Linked DNA regions of Oryctolagus cuniculus. The protein of the gene in region 2 purifies or fractionates together with the protein of the main gene of each other region. This does not show direct contact. Links are inferred from orthologs where the notes say so. Each region holds a gene or a part of one and is shown on either strand. Other genes may lie near its edges.

Region 1 (4,119 bases), on a different chromosome or scaffold from region 2:
TGTCAGCATTTATAAAATCCGTATTGCCACTTTCTTCACTTACTCTAATGTTGTAGTTCTTGAATAAAATCTTTATGAGGTTGAGTTTCCTAGTATGAAGTTTTTCTTGAGTGAATATCTTTGTGGTTGGGGCATTAAGTGTCCTGAGTGAAGGACGAAGCCCTGAAAGAACTCTTAGGGAATCTGTGATCCGAACATTCAGTCATGAATGTGTCCTCCAGACACTGACTGCTGGACAGCCTCCTGGCCTGTCATCTGCAGTGCCTCACCATCTAGGTGGCTTATCTTCAAGAAAAGCTCTGAATACAAAGAATGCTGTATTTGAATAGTTCCCTGTTGGCATACCTTTAGAATGGATGTGTCTGTCATCAATTTAGGGATGTGAATTGTTTGAATTTGAGGCGTTTTCCATAACCCTTGTATCTTGGCTATGTGAGAGTTCACTTTGTGTCCACCTTTGGTTTTATCTGTGGGCCAAGGACATAATCATACGAATTTCAGAGACAAAGATCAGCTCACAAATTTATTAAGATCTAAGTACTGGAGCCAGCGTGTGGTGTAGCAGGTAAAACTGCCGCCTGAAGTACCAGCATTCCATATGGGCCCCAGTTTGAGTCCCAGCTGCTCCACTTCTGATCCAGCTCTCTGCTGTGACCTGTGATAACAGTGAAGGATGGCCCAAGTCCTTGGGCCCCTGCACCCAGGTGGGAGACCCAGAGAAGCTCTGGCTTCAAATCAGCGCAGCTCCAAAATACAAATTGCATATTTAGACTCGGGCCCCTCCCTAACATCATTACCTATATGCAAATATTCCAAAATCTGAAATTCTTCTGATCTTAAGCTTTTCAATTAAGAGATATTCAACCTGTATTTATTTATATATTTTCAGATATGGGAGTGTGCCTTTTTTCCCCTATGAAATTATAAGGACTATATATTTTTCTAAAGTAAAGCTAAGTGAACCCAAGTTTGCATATCATTAAATGTAAATGAACACATAAAAACTAACTTACTGTATTGAATACAGATAGGTATGTAATGAGTGAATTCTACCTCCCCTCCCCACAACAAGGTCACTAGCAAGAGGCCTTCAGGGACTTGTTTGTGTCCCTTCACTCCAGCAGAGAAGAGGGGAGTGTTTTTGAGAACTCAGTCATTCAAGTGAGAGGAAAATGTCAGCGCTGAGAAGTATTTATGGTGTTGGGAACTGCTCAGTGAAGTTTTCACCTTCAGTCTGAGCTGATTCAGCCATGAACACAGCACTTGTAGAATTCATTGCTAACTTTAAAATGCCTGCTTGAGCTCATTACCTGAAGAGGAAGAACCCACTAGATTGTTCTTTGAAACTCAGAGACTAAGAGCTACTGGGGATGCCAACAGTTTATTTTTAAAACTCCATTGTGTGGCTCACTAGGCTAATCCTCCACCTGTGGCGCTGGCACCCTGGGTACTAGTCCTGGTCGGGGCGCTGGATTCTGTCCCGGTTGCCCCTCTTCCAGGCCAGCTCTCTGCTGTGGCCAGGGAGTGCAGTGGAGGATGGCCCAGGTGCTTGGGCCCTGCACCCACATGGGAGACCAGGAGGAAGCACCTGGCTCCTGGCTTCGGATTGGCACAGCACCAGCCATAGCAGCCATTAGGGGAGTGAACCAACGGAAGGAAGACTTTTCTCTCTGTTTCTCTCTCTCACTTACTGCCTGTCAAACAAACAAACAAACAAAAAACTCCATTTTGTAGGTACTTATAGGCAAATTGGCTTCTTTGAAACATGCTATTTCTAGGTATTATCTGTTTTCTATGCACTACTCACCGGTACCTTTGGAATTTTGGTGGTAAGAATGTCCAACTGATCTGTTAAAAAAGAGAAATACATGATAATTGACAAACTTCTTAAGCACTAAGAACATACTTCAAACGGTAACTATTGCATATGCGTTTTATTTTTCATGTATGTCTTGCAGATCACCTGCAATTCTGCTTAAATCCTGATGGCTGCGAGTTTTCTCGCAGTGTGTTATCTGAGCTTTTCACCATACTAGAAAGGATGTATTCCAGTCTGTCTGTATGTATTTATTTATTCTAGGCCAGATTTGGTCTTACCTTTATAGCTTCCCAATCTAATGCCTACAGCGAGCTCAATAAAACTGGTTCGGGCTCCTGCGTTATTAATCCATGGTATTTTCTTACTCTATTTTAAATAAAATAACTGGGGTTTTGAAGGCAGCCCTTTGAACAGTGATTAAGGGATGCGGGAACGGATACCTTGGCCTGTAATGTTGTAATTTGGTACAGTTTTTTTCCTTTTTTTCAAATTAAGACCGAATGCCCTCCATCCCGCCTGCTACCGCGTGTTCCCAGATCTGATCCCTGCCAAGGGCCGTGGCCCCCGCCGTTAACAGCCCCTCAGCCAACCTCAGACACAGGGCCCCGCGCGGCCCGGGGGCGCCGCCCGCCCTCCGCCTCTGGGCGACCCCCGGGGGCCGACGCCAAAGCGTCCCCGGCGGGGCCCGAAAACTCCACGCAGTCCTCGCACTCGGCTCCGAGCGTCCCCCCCCCCCCGGCCACGGCCGCCGCCCGCCCCCGCCCTCCCGGGCGCTCACGACCCCGGGCTGGGCGCCGTCCCCCCAGCCCCTCCGGGCCCCCGGCCTCACCCGCCGCCGCCGCCGCCGCCCTCGGTCCCGGCCACCGCGGGCGGCTCGGCCGAAGAGTCGGCCCCCGGCCCCCGGCCCGGCATCTCCCCGGCGCCCGGACGGCGAGCTGCGTGCGGGAGAAGCGGGCCCTGCCCCTGCCCCCTCTGCACGCGTGCGTCAGGCGGGAGGTGTCGGGGCGACACCTCGGGAAGCTGGGAGGGCTAGGAGACCCACGACCCCGGATCTGCGGGAGTGCGTTACTTGGTGGCGAGTCTGTGCTTTCGCATCTTTTTGTGCAAGGGACGCGTCACGGGAACGAAACGCACACGCTCCCCTGAACACGAGGTGCCTTCCACCTCAGGGTTCCAGACCCTCAGCACATTTGCAAAGCTTGGGTGGCACCGTCCGAGCCCAACGCCAATGCGCAAACCAAGAATCAGGGATGCTGAGCGTTTGCCGTTATCCTTTGTCTCCCTGGCAACCAGGCTCCGGCGGCTACCCAACCGCGGGTTTCCGCCAGCCGCTTCTGCGCACGCGCAAGACCTCCTCCTTCACTCTCTCCCTCCCTCCCTCCCACCTCTCTCCTCCCCGCCCCTTCCGTGTCTCCCGGACGCGTTTCTCACGGGACTTGGCCCGCGGAACGTTCCGTAGCCGGAGGTGTGACTTACCCGGAAATGTATAAGGAGCTTCGGTTGCGATTGGTTCGCACCTCGCGCTCCCGGAAGTGGGTGGGCGTGGCGCCAAGGCTGAAGCGGGAAGTGTGCCGTACGGCCCTGGAGAAGCCGAGGGTCGGCATGCCTCGTTACGCGCAGCTGGTCATGGGCCCCGCCGGCAGCGGGAAGGTGAGATTTGGTGGGAAAGGAGAGAAAGATCGTAACCCGTGTGAGGCGAGGGTTCGGTCCTGAGAGAAGGGCGTGTACCGAGGGCCTTGAGACTCCGCGCCGTTCGCTTCTGCTCTCGGTCTTCGGGGTCCTGTCGTCTTGCAAGGGGGTCGTGGCGGTTGTTGGTGGACGCTTAGGCCCCGGGTTGGAGTAGCCCAACCCTAGGAGATGGGTCTTCTTATTCCCGTTTAGGGAAGGTCGCGCGCGTACGAGTCGGGACCTGAACTGGAATCCGGGTTTGTTTTGTTTTTCTGACTCCAGAATCCTGTCCTTTCTCCCTCCCAGGAGACTAAAGTGGGGTCTTTGTGGGTGTTTCCCAAAGCCTGGGACGTGGACTTCTGGTATTTGAAGGGATTTTAGATGGCAGTGGGACCCCGCGTTACGGAACATCGGCTCGTATGCTCAGAACATTCCCCCTTCCCCTTCTGGATTCCACTGCGGTGAAGCTACGCTGGCTTCTAACGTAGCTCCATTTTTTAAAAAAAGGACTTATTTTATTTATTTGAAAGTCAGAGTCAGAGTTAGAGAGAAGGAGAGGCAGAGAGAGAGAGGTCTTCCATCCGCTGGTTCACTCCCCAATTGGCTGCAATGGCCAGAGCTGAGCCAATCCA
Region 2 (3,021 bases):
CATTTACACTCAACTATCTTCACTTGAAGCCCAGCTGCTCAGCTGTCTTTCCCTGATTCTGTGGGTCTCAGAGGACATCTCTCCATCTTCCTCCTATCGTGGCTGCTGCTGGACTCTACCCTTCTCTGCTAGGGTGGGTGTGGCTTGAACCAGAATCTCCACTCAGCACATGGCCTTCCACAAAGCAGATACTCAACACAAGTTTGGGGAAGAAATAAGCCAGAAAACAAGAGTTGTGTTTATTACAGTTTAATTTGCACCTGAATAATCTAACAAGATATAGAAACTTATCTTTTAATCTTTCAGAGTAACACACTGAAAGGGATAAGGGAATCAATATGATAACACTTAGCTTTTTTCTCTATGTATTGCTAAATGCTTTTACTTTTCCAAGGATACGAATATTCTACTGCCATGGAATTTTGTTCCAAATTACAAACAAGATGGAGGGCTTCCCAACTGGTTTTACAAAATAGCAAAAACTCATTTGCTTATTCTGAAAAAAAAATAAATATGTGAGAAATATAATTAATTAACAAATATTTAGAAGCTAATCAACCTTTTAGTAAAAGTAACAACATTTTTAAATGTTCGATATAAAGAAGATAAATCCCTAAATCCTCTAAAGAAAGCAGTAAGATAAAGATATTATACAATTCATTACCTCTAGGTCCAGCCTGACCCTCCACTACTGAGACTTTTGACTTCACTCTGAGAACAGAGTGAAGAATCTGCCTAATTTTACTCAGGGTAGGAGATGCTGATGCTGGCAATAGAACTGGCACTGGCCATGGCAGTAGTATCTACTGTGGCAATTCTGGCCTGGGCTCTCTCTGCCTCATCTCTCAAAGCCTCCTCATACCATACTGGGAAGGATCTTGGATCACTTCCATTGATCTTGGCCAAAAACTCCAGAAGACTCATCTTGCTGATCTCAGCATGGGCCCTTGGACCCCACAGGAACTCATAGCGAGCAGGATCACTGTTGGGTACCTGACGCCACTCCAAGTACCCTTCTTGCACCCAATCTTCTGTGAGTAACTTTTCGGGCTTCCCATAGATATAGTGCCTCTCCCCAAGAGACAACCCCATCCCAATCAGCACATCCCAGATCTCTTCCTCAGGGGCATAGTTACCACTCATGAAAATGACACTCAGGATAAGTATCAGGAGGCCAGTCTTGGGCATGCCCTGGACATCACTAAGCAACCCATCATAGGTGAGGCCCAGGGAGATAACGAGGGCATAGGAGTGGTTAGTGGGGTCCACTTCCTTTACATCAATGCCAAAGACCAGCTGCATGCATTCAGAGGCTTCACTGAGGATCACAGGAAAGTGATCCTGGTAATTCTGAATGACACACATCAGCATTTCTTCCTTGGTGGTGGGAGCATTTGTCTGATACTTGAAGAGCAAGAACTCCACCAAATTAGACACCTTTTCCTCTATCTTACTTCTGAGAAAAGACTCAGGCTCTCTCAGGGCCTGTGAGGTGCTAGGACCCTCCTTATCTTGGCTGCTGGTACCCTCACTGGATTGGCCCCATGGAGTGGAGGTCATGCCAGTAGAGGAGGAACAGGATACCTGAGGACTCTGGAGAGAACTCTGTGTGCTATCATCATCAAAAACCTCCTCTGAGGTGCTTGACATTAGAGAATAGAAAGAGGAGGATGTCGAAGAGGAGGAAGAGGAGGGAAAAGAGGAAGAACAGGTAGAGGAGGATGAAGAAGCATCCTCATCCGTAATGTTCTGTGTCTCAATTTGGGCCTGAAGGTCTTCTTCAAGCACATACCGCCGACGCTTTGGAGCTCGAGGCATGATGACTCTCGTTGGAGGCAGCAGGCAAAAGAATGGGCAGCAGCTGGGTTATGGGGACCCCACAGGCCTAAAAGAGAAAGGGACCATGTGAGTGACATCAATTGAAAACTGCACCCTTGGCTGTTTTGGCAAAAGCCCACTTACATTTTTTCTCTTTGGGTTGTGGTGCACTAGTGCCTCACACAGATCCTGTCCTACTGGTGAGACAGTACCATGAGAAGTGCAAAGAAACGGGTCAGCAGAGAGTGAGAATCCAGGGCTGTCAGTGAGGGTGGGTTGGAGTCAAGCACTGTGGGGTCCCTTGTGTTCTGCTGGTGGTTTGCAATCCACATTCAAGGGATGTACCTCACCTTGAGTCTTGGCACTGCTTCAGCCTTGTCTTCTCTGTGACCTAAGTGCACTGTCTCACATAAGTCTTTGACCAGCAGGTTTCTGGAGCTCCTATAAGAAGAATAGAGGGGAGTCTAGAGTTCAGACTGCAAGTATCACCCTGGGCCCACCAGTCAGGAAAGTGTGTTAGGTTCTGAGAGGTCCTCACTGTTAAAAAGTGGAAGATCCCCTTTGCACCCACTTAGAGTTCTCAATTTCCTCTGGCAGTTTAGACTCTACCACTCTGCTGTCCTGAAGCAACACAAAGCAGAAGTTCACCTCCCTAAGAGGCAACAAGAAGCAGTGAAGGGTCTCACATCTGGCAACACCTGGCAAAGCCTCATAGCAACAGTTTGTGACCCTGCTGTTCTATGTCTGATCCAGTTCCTTGCTATTGGCCTGGGAAAAGCTGCAGAAGACAGCTCAAGTATTTGGGCACCTATCACCCACGTGGGAGACCAGGATGAAGCTGTTGGTTCCTGGCTTTGGCCTGGCCCAGCCCCAGCCATCGTGGCCATCTTGGGAATTAACCAGTGGATGGATTATCTTTCTGCCATTCTTTCAAATAAATAAATATTTTTAAAAAACAAAAATAAAAAAGAAGAGGATGGCAAGTGTGGGGTCCAACTATATTGAGATGAGAGGGTCCCCCAAGTCCTAACTTTTATATTTGGTTGGGCCTGAAATAATTCTCTCTGTGATCTGAGGCTATAATTTTCATGAGATGTTAAAGAGGAAGTGTCCCATATCTTCTCATGGCTTACTAAAGGGCAGGATGGGGCTGGGATTCTTTCTGTTCTGTTGAAGGATATTTCCTCAGTCCTAAGTCTGAAA
Region 3 (4,241 bases), on a different chromosome or scaffold from region 2:
AATGCTCCTAATGGCTGGAGTTGGGCTTGGGCTGGGTTGGCCAGGAGCCAAGAACTCAATCTGGGTCCCCCACATGGGTGGCAGGGACCCAAGTCCTTGAGCCAGCACCTGCTGCAGGAAGGCGGAATTCGGAGCCGGAGCCAGAGCAGGAAACAACCTAGGCACTCCGATATGGCACTTGAGTGTCTTGACCTGGATCCCAACTGCTAGGCCTAACACCTGCCCCCAGGAACTTGAAGTCCCCTCATACATGCGTGCTGGGAGGCAAAGGATTCTTTAATTCACATAATACAGATGGTATCTCTCAATACTTTCCAATAGCAAGTTCTTCCCAGTCTCTAGTGTCAGACTACAGGTTAGACACTTTATTTCCCATTCTCTGGATGCAGAAGTTATATTTTCACAATTCCCACCCATCATTTCAATTTCTCTAGGAAGAGAGCTTTCCAATGTTGAAGATCTCTAGGTGCTTAAGAAGAAATGGCAGCATTTTCCTCTGGCCCGTGGCTTCCCAGCCAGGTCAGGAAGCTGACTCACTCTGAGCTTACCTACGTTAACCCAGGTGGTTAAGTGAGCGTGTAACGCTTCTTCAGGGTTGCACGACTGGCATAAGTGCTTTAAAAAACATATTCTAAACATCTGGCCGCTGCAGGATTTGTCTAGCATACTTCAGTCTCCTCACTCCAGCTTGGCTCAGGTCCACCCTACAAAGCCAGGCGGGAGACACGCAGTCCCCACCCAGCGAAGATTCCCGTGTGACTAACGCCCTTCCTGCAGACAAATCTTCGCAGCCCTCCCCACCCGCCTTCTCCACTCACTCTACGAAGGCTTTGGTAGCCCGCCTGCGTGGACGCCGTCACCTAGGGTCGGTCTTAGCTCTCGCCCACTTATGCCTCAGTTTCCCCATCGTTCTCTACATACAGGCAGGGTTAAACCCTACGCTCTTCCTTGTCCTCTCGTTCATCCTTTCGGGCAATGTAGTTTGGCAAATCTGGGCCCAAAGGTGCCTACGGATTCCATTATCGCGCGCATTCCAGGCGAGGTATCGCAGACGCCGGCTTGCGAGAAGTAAACAGGAAACCAGCGATCCCACGCAGGAAATGACCTTGTTTGAGGGCAGCGAGGGAGCCGCGGATTTCCCTCGTTTCCCTTTCTAAACTCACTTCCGGGTTTCAATCACTTTGGTCCTTCCCTACAAATGCCGGAGTCCGGGTAGCTCTTCCCGGTCCCAACCTACACTTCGCCCCGAGAGAATGGCCAATAGGCCCGTCCCCGTAGTTGACATTTTTATGCTTCGTTTTACATCATTGCAAATCTCAACCAATCAGTAGTTGCGATAGGAGGTACCAAAATAGTCTTCACTTCCTCCCCTTGCCGGCGTCACCCTGTGATAGAAGAATGACTCAGCCAATCAACGAGCAGGCTTGGGCCCGGCCTACGCCAGGTCCAGCCAATCAGAATAATGACGGGGAACTGGGGCGGGGAATGGAAAACTTGCCCCCTCTTTTGGAAATGATTTTTGAAGAGGTGCGTCGCGAACCGGGGAAGTCACAACTCTCTGCAAACGATCGCAGCGGCCGTAGATCTTATGTGCCCAGGTCTGTCCCCCTTCGACTCCGCCCCAAGATGGGCTCACATTCCACCCTCGCCCCTGTTTGGGTAGACGCAACGGCGTCCCTGGAAAAAAATCCCAGCCCCAGCAGCCCGGGTTGCAAAAACGCCGCACCCCGTGCGGGACGAGGAGGGGGCAGGAGAAACCCTGCAGCCGCGGCGCCAGTCTTTCGATTCAGTGCGTCTCTCCTCCCGGCCCCACGTTCCCGGGCCGCAGCTGACACGGGGCTGGGAGGAGCCGAGGGCCTGCTCGGTTTGGGGAGAGGCGAAAACTTCTTAAGGTGGAACAGAGCGGTTGCGGGGCCAGGCCTCCCAGCCGCCGGACCTGGCTTCCCACGGCTCCTCCAGCCTTATCCAGGCTTATTGTCAGGGAGCACTAAAGAGGGTGGGCAGAGCAGATACAGATCACTGTAGACAACTTTAATAAACAGCCTTGTAAGGGAGATACTGACTCTGCAGGGAACTTTTTCCTTGGGATGGAATCTCTCTGGTTCGGTTCTATTCTTTCCTCCTCCCAAGATGACCTTTTAAAGTAGCAGCTAGAATTGTCCTGCTGTGCACAAGGGAGCTCAAGGTTCGATGACAGACATTCCTGAATGAGTCGCGCGCGTCCTATGCTGGCTTTGTCTTCCTCCACTAGAGCTGACCACAGCCATGCGAGAAAGCAAGAACCTTGTGTGTAGCGGCTGCGGGTTGCCCCCGGCGCCGTTTGTCACGGTGAACCGGGAATGCAGGAGGTACATTGTATGGTCCCTCAGTCTGGTCTTGGCGTTGCTCAGTCTTCTCATTTGCAAAATGACGGTATCTGGCCACCTGGAAGGTGTAGTGTGCGTGCTGATGGACACAGTGCAAATGCAAACACCTTGTACTCTGACGGGTGAAACAAACGTTAGATCCTACGCATACAAAACACATACATAATAGCAAACACAGTCCTTACCATTCTACAGCATTTTTAAACAGAATAAAAAAAAAGTCTATCAAACAGATACAAAAGTAGAGAGAACAGTATTTTTCTAGAGTTGTAATAAGCAACTTTTGGCCAAGTTTGTATCATCACTCCCTCTCCCCTCCATCACTTGATTATTTTGAGGTAGATTTCAGGTATTTCATGCCTAAGTAGTTCAGCATGCATTTTTTTTTAAAGATTTATTTATTTGAAAGAGTTACAGAAAGAGGTAGAGACAGAGAGAGAAGTCTTCCATCTGCTGGTTCACTCCCCAGATGGCTGCAATGGCCGGAGCTGCGCTGATCCAAAGACAGGGGCCAGGAGCTTCCTCTGGGTCTCCCACGTGGGTGCAGGGGCCCAAGCACTTGGGCTATCTGCTGCTGCTTTCCCAGGCCATAGCAGAGAGCTGGATCGGAAGAGGAACAGTCGAGACTAGAACCGACGGCCATATGGGATGCCGGCACTTCAGGCCAGGGCGTTAACCCACTGCGCCACAGCACCAGCCCCTCAGCATGCATTTTTAAAAATAAGGATTTTTTAAAAAACACATTTCCATGAACACACTTAAAATAAAGCAACGATTCCTTGATATCACCCAGTGAGTACGGACATTGTATCAATTGTCTCATATATTTGTTCCAGTTGTTTGCTTCTAGTCAGGATCTTCCCCAATGTTCCACACGTTATATTCCGTGGATATGTCTCTTGGACAATATATATTGCATTGACTGAGTCTTTTAAGCCTCTGTTCATCTCTGGAGGTCCCTTCCCTCCAACACTTGGCTGATGTGTAAGTCACTCAGCTCTTCCACAGCACTGGGAAGCTGGGTCCTCTTGTCATGTCTGCTTCACTGATGAGAAAACCAAGTCACAAAGCAGTTGAGTGACTTTCCGAAGAACTCAGTCATTAAGTATTAAAGCTGAGATTTGAATAGATCATGAGCTTTCCCTCCATCTTTTATTTCATTCAATACATCAATCTTTAATAAATGCTTCCAACACGTGCTTTTGTGGCACGTTAGTCGCCAATAGTATGTAAAAGTTTTACTCAAGGTAGACTCCAGCAAAGACGTATACAGAAATTTATACACACATACATATATTTCAAGAAACAACTACATGATTGTATGATACAAACTATAAAAACATGATTTCCTCACTTGAATACTTTCAGACTTATGAAAAAAAATGGTTCCTTAAAATAATACATACTGGGGTTGGAGTTGTGGTGCATCAGGGTAAGCAATGGCTTGGGACATTTGCATCCCATTATCAGGGTGCCAGTTCAAGTCCTGGCTGTTCCACTTCTGATCCAGCTTCATGTTAATGTATCTGGGAAGGCAGCAGATGATGGCCCAAGTGCTTGGACCCCTAGCACCCATGTGGGAGACAAAGAATGGAGTTCCTGGCTCCTGCCTTCTGCTAGACCAAGACCTGGCTATTTCAGACATTTGGGGAGTAAACCAGTGGATGGAAGATACAGCTCTCTGTCTCTCCCTCTTTTTCTCATCTGCCTTTTGAATAAATAATTAGATCTTTTTAAAAAATGATTTATTTATTTGAAAGGCAGAGTTGCAGAGAGGCAGAAAGAGAGAGAGGTCTTCCATCCACTGGTACATTCCCCAGATGGCTGCAACTGCCGGAGCTGGGCCGATCCAAAGCCAGGAGCTTCTTCCAGGTC
Region 4 (4,110 bases), on a different chromosome or scaffold from region 2:
AAATAAATAAATCTTTTTTTAAAAAAGTATTGTTTCAGACTCATAAGTAATTGTTTACCATGCATGTTCCCATCAGTTGATGAAAACGCTGCATTTCAAGAACAAGCAAAGACATAGGATGTTGGATCCTGTGTCAGTAACAACTAAATGTCATTACCATCTGTCAGCTTTTGAATAGGTTACAGGAAACAAGGTGACAGACAGGCTAATTCTTTATGGATAAATATCCACATTACATCATCCTACTGTACTCATTTGCACCTTCAGAAGAAACTGCCACAAAGGGGAACAAAAACATTCAACTGGTGCATGAATTATGAAAAAGCTTTTTTAAATGTCATAAAAATATGAATAAGCTTCTGAAATGTAGAATATTTTAAGACTTACAGGGCTATTTAAGATTCAGGATTTTTGATGTAACTGAATTAAAGAGGACTTTTGCACAGTTTGAGAAATAAAATGAGGTACAATTAAGAAGTGTGTACAGCCCTGTACAGATGGCCTGATCCTGACACAAGATGTTAACAAAGCAGGTTAATGGGGGAGGGGAAAGCCTGCATTTTCAAGGCTATAATTCAGCTGACCCCACCCCCGAAACCCTTTTTTAAAGCAGGAGGGCTAACATTTAAGAATTAGTAATTAAAAAAAAAAAAAAAAACCAGAAAATAAGTCTCTTTTAGATTCCATGGTCCAAGTGAATCTACTTACTGTTTTCAAATATGTTTGGGGAGTCACTCTGTTACTTTGATAAATAACATTTGGAAAATATGACAATTGGATTTTTAGATTCTTGCCTCAGAAGTATTCTGCTAAAAGAAATAACAGAAAAAAAAACTAGATAGTATTTCATTTTCATTTACCTAATACATTTTCCATTTGAAACAAAATATTCTGCACAAACAGCTATCACTGCTGTTCACTAAACAGCAAGCAATCTTAACTTGTGAAAATCATCATATTCAATGCAAAAGCTACTTGGAAAACGATGGTTAAATTATCACAAAAAAAAGAATAGGAAAAGTGTCAAATGTTTTTCATGAAACTTCTTGTAACAGCTTACTTATATATAATACAAAATGACTGCTATTTGTGAAAGGTTTCAGCGCTGAATTATTTAGCTCCAAACTGGTATACCACATTTATTTTTTCTCCCCGCTCTTTTAAACAAAGGACCTAAAATTTTCTAACAAGGTTTTTCCCCCCTCTTTCTTAAAGAAAATTTTTCTCATTCTTTCACAATCATCCCAAGGTACAATCTAAGACAAAGAACAGCTATTCGTCACACATATTTTCCAAATCATGACCGTGGAACTTGCATACAAACAAAGACGACAACCTAGAACACTGTAATATATTAAGTAAAAAAAAAAAAGTTCACTTCTGTCGTGCAAATAATGAAGAAACCTGATGAGATCACAAAGCCACGAAGCTTCCTGTTGGTAGCTGGGGATGAAGTCATTAGCAACCCAGGATTCCCTGGTCCTTGTAATCAGAAGCTGCACCTACCAGATTCAGTATTGTTCCGGAGAGGTGGCTTTAAAACACCCGGCTCCCGAATCCTCCAAGCCAGACCACGCCTTCCAGTTATCATTCAAATTGGACTGCTACACCGTGTGCCACTACTACACATTTCCCGCGAGCTTAAGTATCAAGCAGGAGCCAACATTTTAGATTCCCTTGGTCCTGCTGGAGGACAGATGAACTCTTGAACCCCACGCTACGTAACGAAGCCGAGATGGAGAAGCATGCTTCGGTTCTGGAACCTTTATGGCCGTCAGTGACTCCCCCTACCCAATTTCTCCCCAACTCTCAGTCACCCCCAAGGTCCAGAAAGCGCCGAGAGATCCCTTACTTCCTGCTGTTGTTAAAACGGGAGGAAACCCAAGAGCAACTTCGAACGCGTGGAAGAGAAATCGCTCGATCTTGGCCACCAGTGCAAACATATGTCACCCAGCCCCGGCGCAGCACTCGCGCCCCGCCGGGCCCCCTCCTCGGCCCCGAGCCCCGGAGGTTCTGGCTAGCCCAGTCCTCCTGGGTCCCCCAGGGTGAGGGGACACAGCTCTGCGCCTCTTCCTCTCCCGCTTCCCCCACCCTGGCCGCCGAGGCCCCCGAGACCACACTGTGGGCCACCGAGGTTCCCATACAATGGAATGTCACTGCCCCGAAGTCCCCGGCGCCTCCCTCCGCCCGCAGGAGCCAGCCCTGGGGCTCTCCCGGATCCCGAGTTCAGCCACGAGCCCAAACTTCACCATGTGAGAGCCCAGGACCGGGAGGTGACGGAGCCCCAAGACTCCCGCCCAGCCCTTCTTCCAGCCACGGTCCACCCCACCCCCCCGCCAGCCCCAGGCGCGAATCCTGCACCAGGCGTCCCCCACTCCCCGGGGACCACCCCATAGGAGTCATCAGCCCCCTCCCCTGAGCGGGAGCAAGGGCGAACGGAGGGCTCCCCGCCGGGCCCGGACCCCTGGGCGGCGCTGCACCCGCGCGAAGGCCCCAAACACATCCCCGGCCTTTCCTGGCCCACCGCGACCCCGCCGCCCACCCTCCCTACCTGGCCTTGAGGCTGGGGCTGCTGCCGCTGCTGCTGCAGCTGCTGCTGGCGGCGGCGGCCGCGGATCGGGGTTCGTAGGCCCAGGTCGGGGTGGGGGGCTGTGCGGCGGCGCTGGCGGGGGGCGCGGGAGGCGGCGGCGGGTCCGCGAAGCCCGAGGTCGCGTAGTTCCTGTCCATCGTGGGGGTTGCGTAGGGAGGGCGGGCAGCTGTGGGGGCTCCTCTAGGGCCCTGTGAGAGGGGGGCGGGAAGGGAGGGAGGGGCGGGGGGAGGAAGAGGAGGAGGAGGAGGCGGCGGTCGAGGGAGCTGCCCCCTCACATGGCCCCGGCGGGCAGACGGGAGGAGGGCGCGCTGGCGAGTCTGTGCCGCAAGAACCCGGGCCGCAGCGGGCGGCGAGGCCCCAGAGGGCCGTCAGGGAAGCGGCGGCACCCGCGGCCGGGACTCGCGGCGGCGGCGACGGCGGCGGCGGCGGCCGCTTCGCCCCATGTTGGTGGATTTCCCAGGATGCACCTCCCGCCCCCCTCCGCCCCGCGGCCTCGCCCCGCCTCCCCTCGGCGCCCCGCGCTCTCAGCTCGCGGGCCAGGCGGGCGGCCAGCGAGGCCTCCGCCGCTACCGGCCGCCTCACGAGGGGCAGCCGCGGCGGAGGAGCGCCCGCTAGCCGGAGCCAGTGGAGTCGGCGGGCGGCAGACTTCCCGCCCTCCGCACCTCGGAGCAGCGCTGTCCGCGCTCGCCGCGCCCCGCGTGGGAAGGGGCCGCGCCTGCCGGTGGCCCGGCGCGGGGGAGGGGACAGCGAGCGGCAACCTAGCGTGGGGTGTAAGGTGCGGCAAAGCGGGAGGCTGTCAGCGCTTCGGCCTGGACTTCGTTGTTGACCCTTCGGGTTATTTTGAGGGACTCAAATATTCGGTTCCCAGGTCGCTGTTTCTCTCCCTGCGCTCCGAAGCAAAAACAGCTGAACGAGCTGTTTTACAGTTGGTTTACCTCCTTCCTGCCCAAAGCTTGCAGGGCTACGGGACTCTTTTCCTGCTGTTAAGGGAGATTTATATTCAAAAGAGATTCAAATTCAAATGTATTATTTTCCAATCCTTGCTGAAAGGGCCTTTCCCAGGGGTTCTTATTAACTGTCCCCACCCCCACTTCGGGGATTTGCTCGCTGTGCGTTTCAGAATCTCCTGTCCCGAGACAAATACTGCCTCTTCACTGATTAGTCCACCTACCTTCTGGATGACTTTCAGAAAATTTAAACGCCCCACGCACTCTACGTTGGGTTTTTTGTTGTGTATTTGAGGCTTGGTGCGTTAGCAGGGCTGCACCCGGACGTTTCTTAGCTGACCTGCGAGTGTTTGGTTTGGGTAATGAGTGACTATTGAGGATCTTCTGTTGCATATCAACGCTGTCTGTGTTCCTTCTCAGGAGTAGTGAAGGTCGTGGAAATCGTTCGGCCCTTAAGACAGAAATTAAAAGTCAAAATGACAGTAAAGCATAATGACCACCTACCTACCTCCCTTTGGAAAAATCACTATGGCTTCAACCCAGAAATCTACCCCTCAAGATAAGCCCAGCATA

What was found.
Region 1: the proteins of melanoma-associated antigen 10 (region 2) and FAM216A purify together in Homo sapiens (affinity purification with mass spectrometry; 3 studies listed by BioGRID and IntAct, counting the BioPlex papers as one, with this or other methods). This does not show direct contact. The link is inferred for Oryctolagus cuniculus from reciprocal best matches to the Homo sapiens genes MAGEA10 and FAM216A.
Region 3: the proteins of melanoma-associated antigen 10 (region 2) and FOXJ2 purify together in Homo sapiens (affinity purification with mass spectrometry; 3 studies listed by BioGRID and IntAct, counting the BioPlex papers as one, with this or other methods). This does not show direct contact. The link is inferred for Oryctolagus cuniculus from reciprocal best matches to the Homo sapiens genes MAGEA10 and FOXJ2.
Region 4: the proteins of melanoma-associated antigen 10 (region 2) and QSER1 purify together in Homo sapiens (affinity purification with mass spectrometry; 3 studies listed by BioGRID and IntAct, counting the BioPlex papers as one, with this or other methods). This does not show direct contact. The link is inferred for Oryctolagus cuniculus from reciprocal best matches to the Homo sapiens genes MAGEA10 and QSER1.

The regions. Positions count from the first base shown.
Region 1 is NC_091452.1:8,133,319-8,137,437, reverse strand, and holds the start of FAM216A (protein FAM216A), read right to left. Parts: upstream 2,803-4,119; 5' UTR 2,732-2,802; coding exon 2,649-2,731; intron 1,850-2,648; coding exon of another isoform or gene 1,849-1,849; coding exon 1,808-1,848; intron 468-1,807; coding exon 346-467; intron 1-345. Other genes in the region: GPN3 (GPN-loop GTPase 3), read left to right, coding at 3,302-3,469.
Region 2 is NC_091453.1:130,705,100-130,708,120, forward strand, and holds melanoma-associated antigen 10, read right to left. Parts: upstream 1,819-3,021; coding exon 742-1,818; 3' UTR 536-741; downstream 1-535. Other genes in the region: uncharacterized protein, read left to right, coding at 1,061-1,344. UniProt on the Homo sapiens protein: Not known, though may play a role in embryonal development and tumor transformation or aspects of tumor progression.
Region 3 is NC_091440.1:101,893,502-101,897,742, forward strand, and holds the start of FOXJ2 (forkhead box protein J2), read left to right. Parts: upstream 1-1,389; 5' UTR 1,390-1,588; coding exon 1,589-1,598; intron 1,599-4,241.
Region 4 is NC_091432.1:33,054,626-33,058,735, forward strand, and holds the start of QSER1 (glutamine and serine-rich protein 1), read right to left. Parts: upstream 2,860-4,110; 5' UTR 2,728-2,859; coding exon 2,552-2,727; intron 2,302-2,551; exon of another isoform or gene 1,507-2,301; intron 810-1,506; exon of another isoform or gene 709-809; intron 1-708. UniProt on the Homo sapiens protein: Plays an essential role in the protection and maintenance of transcriptional and developmental programs.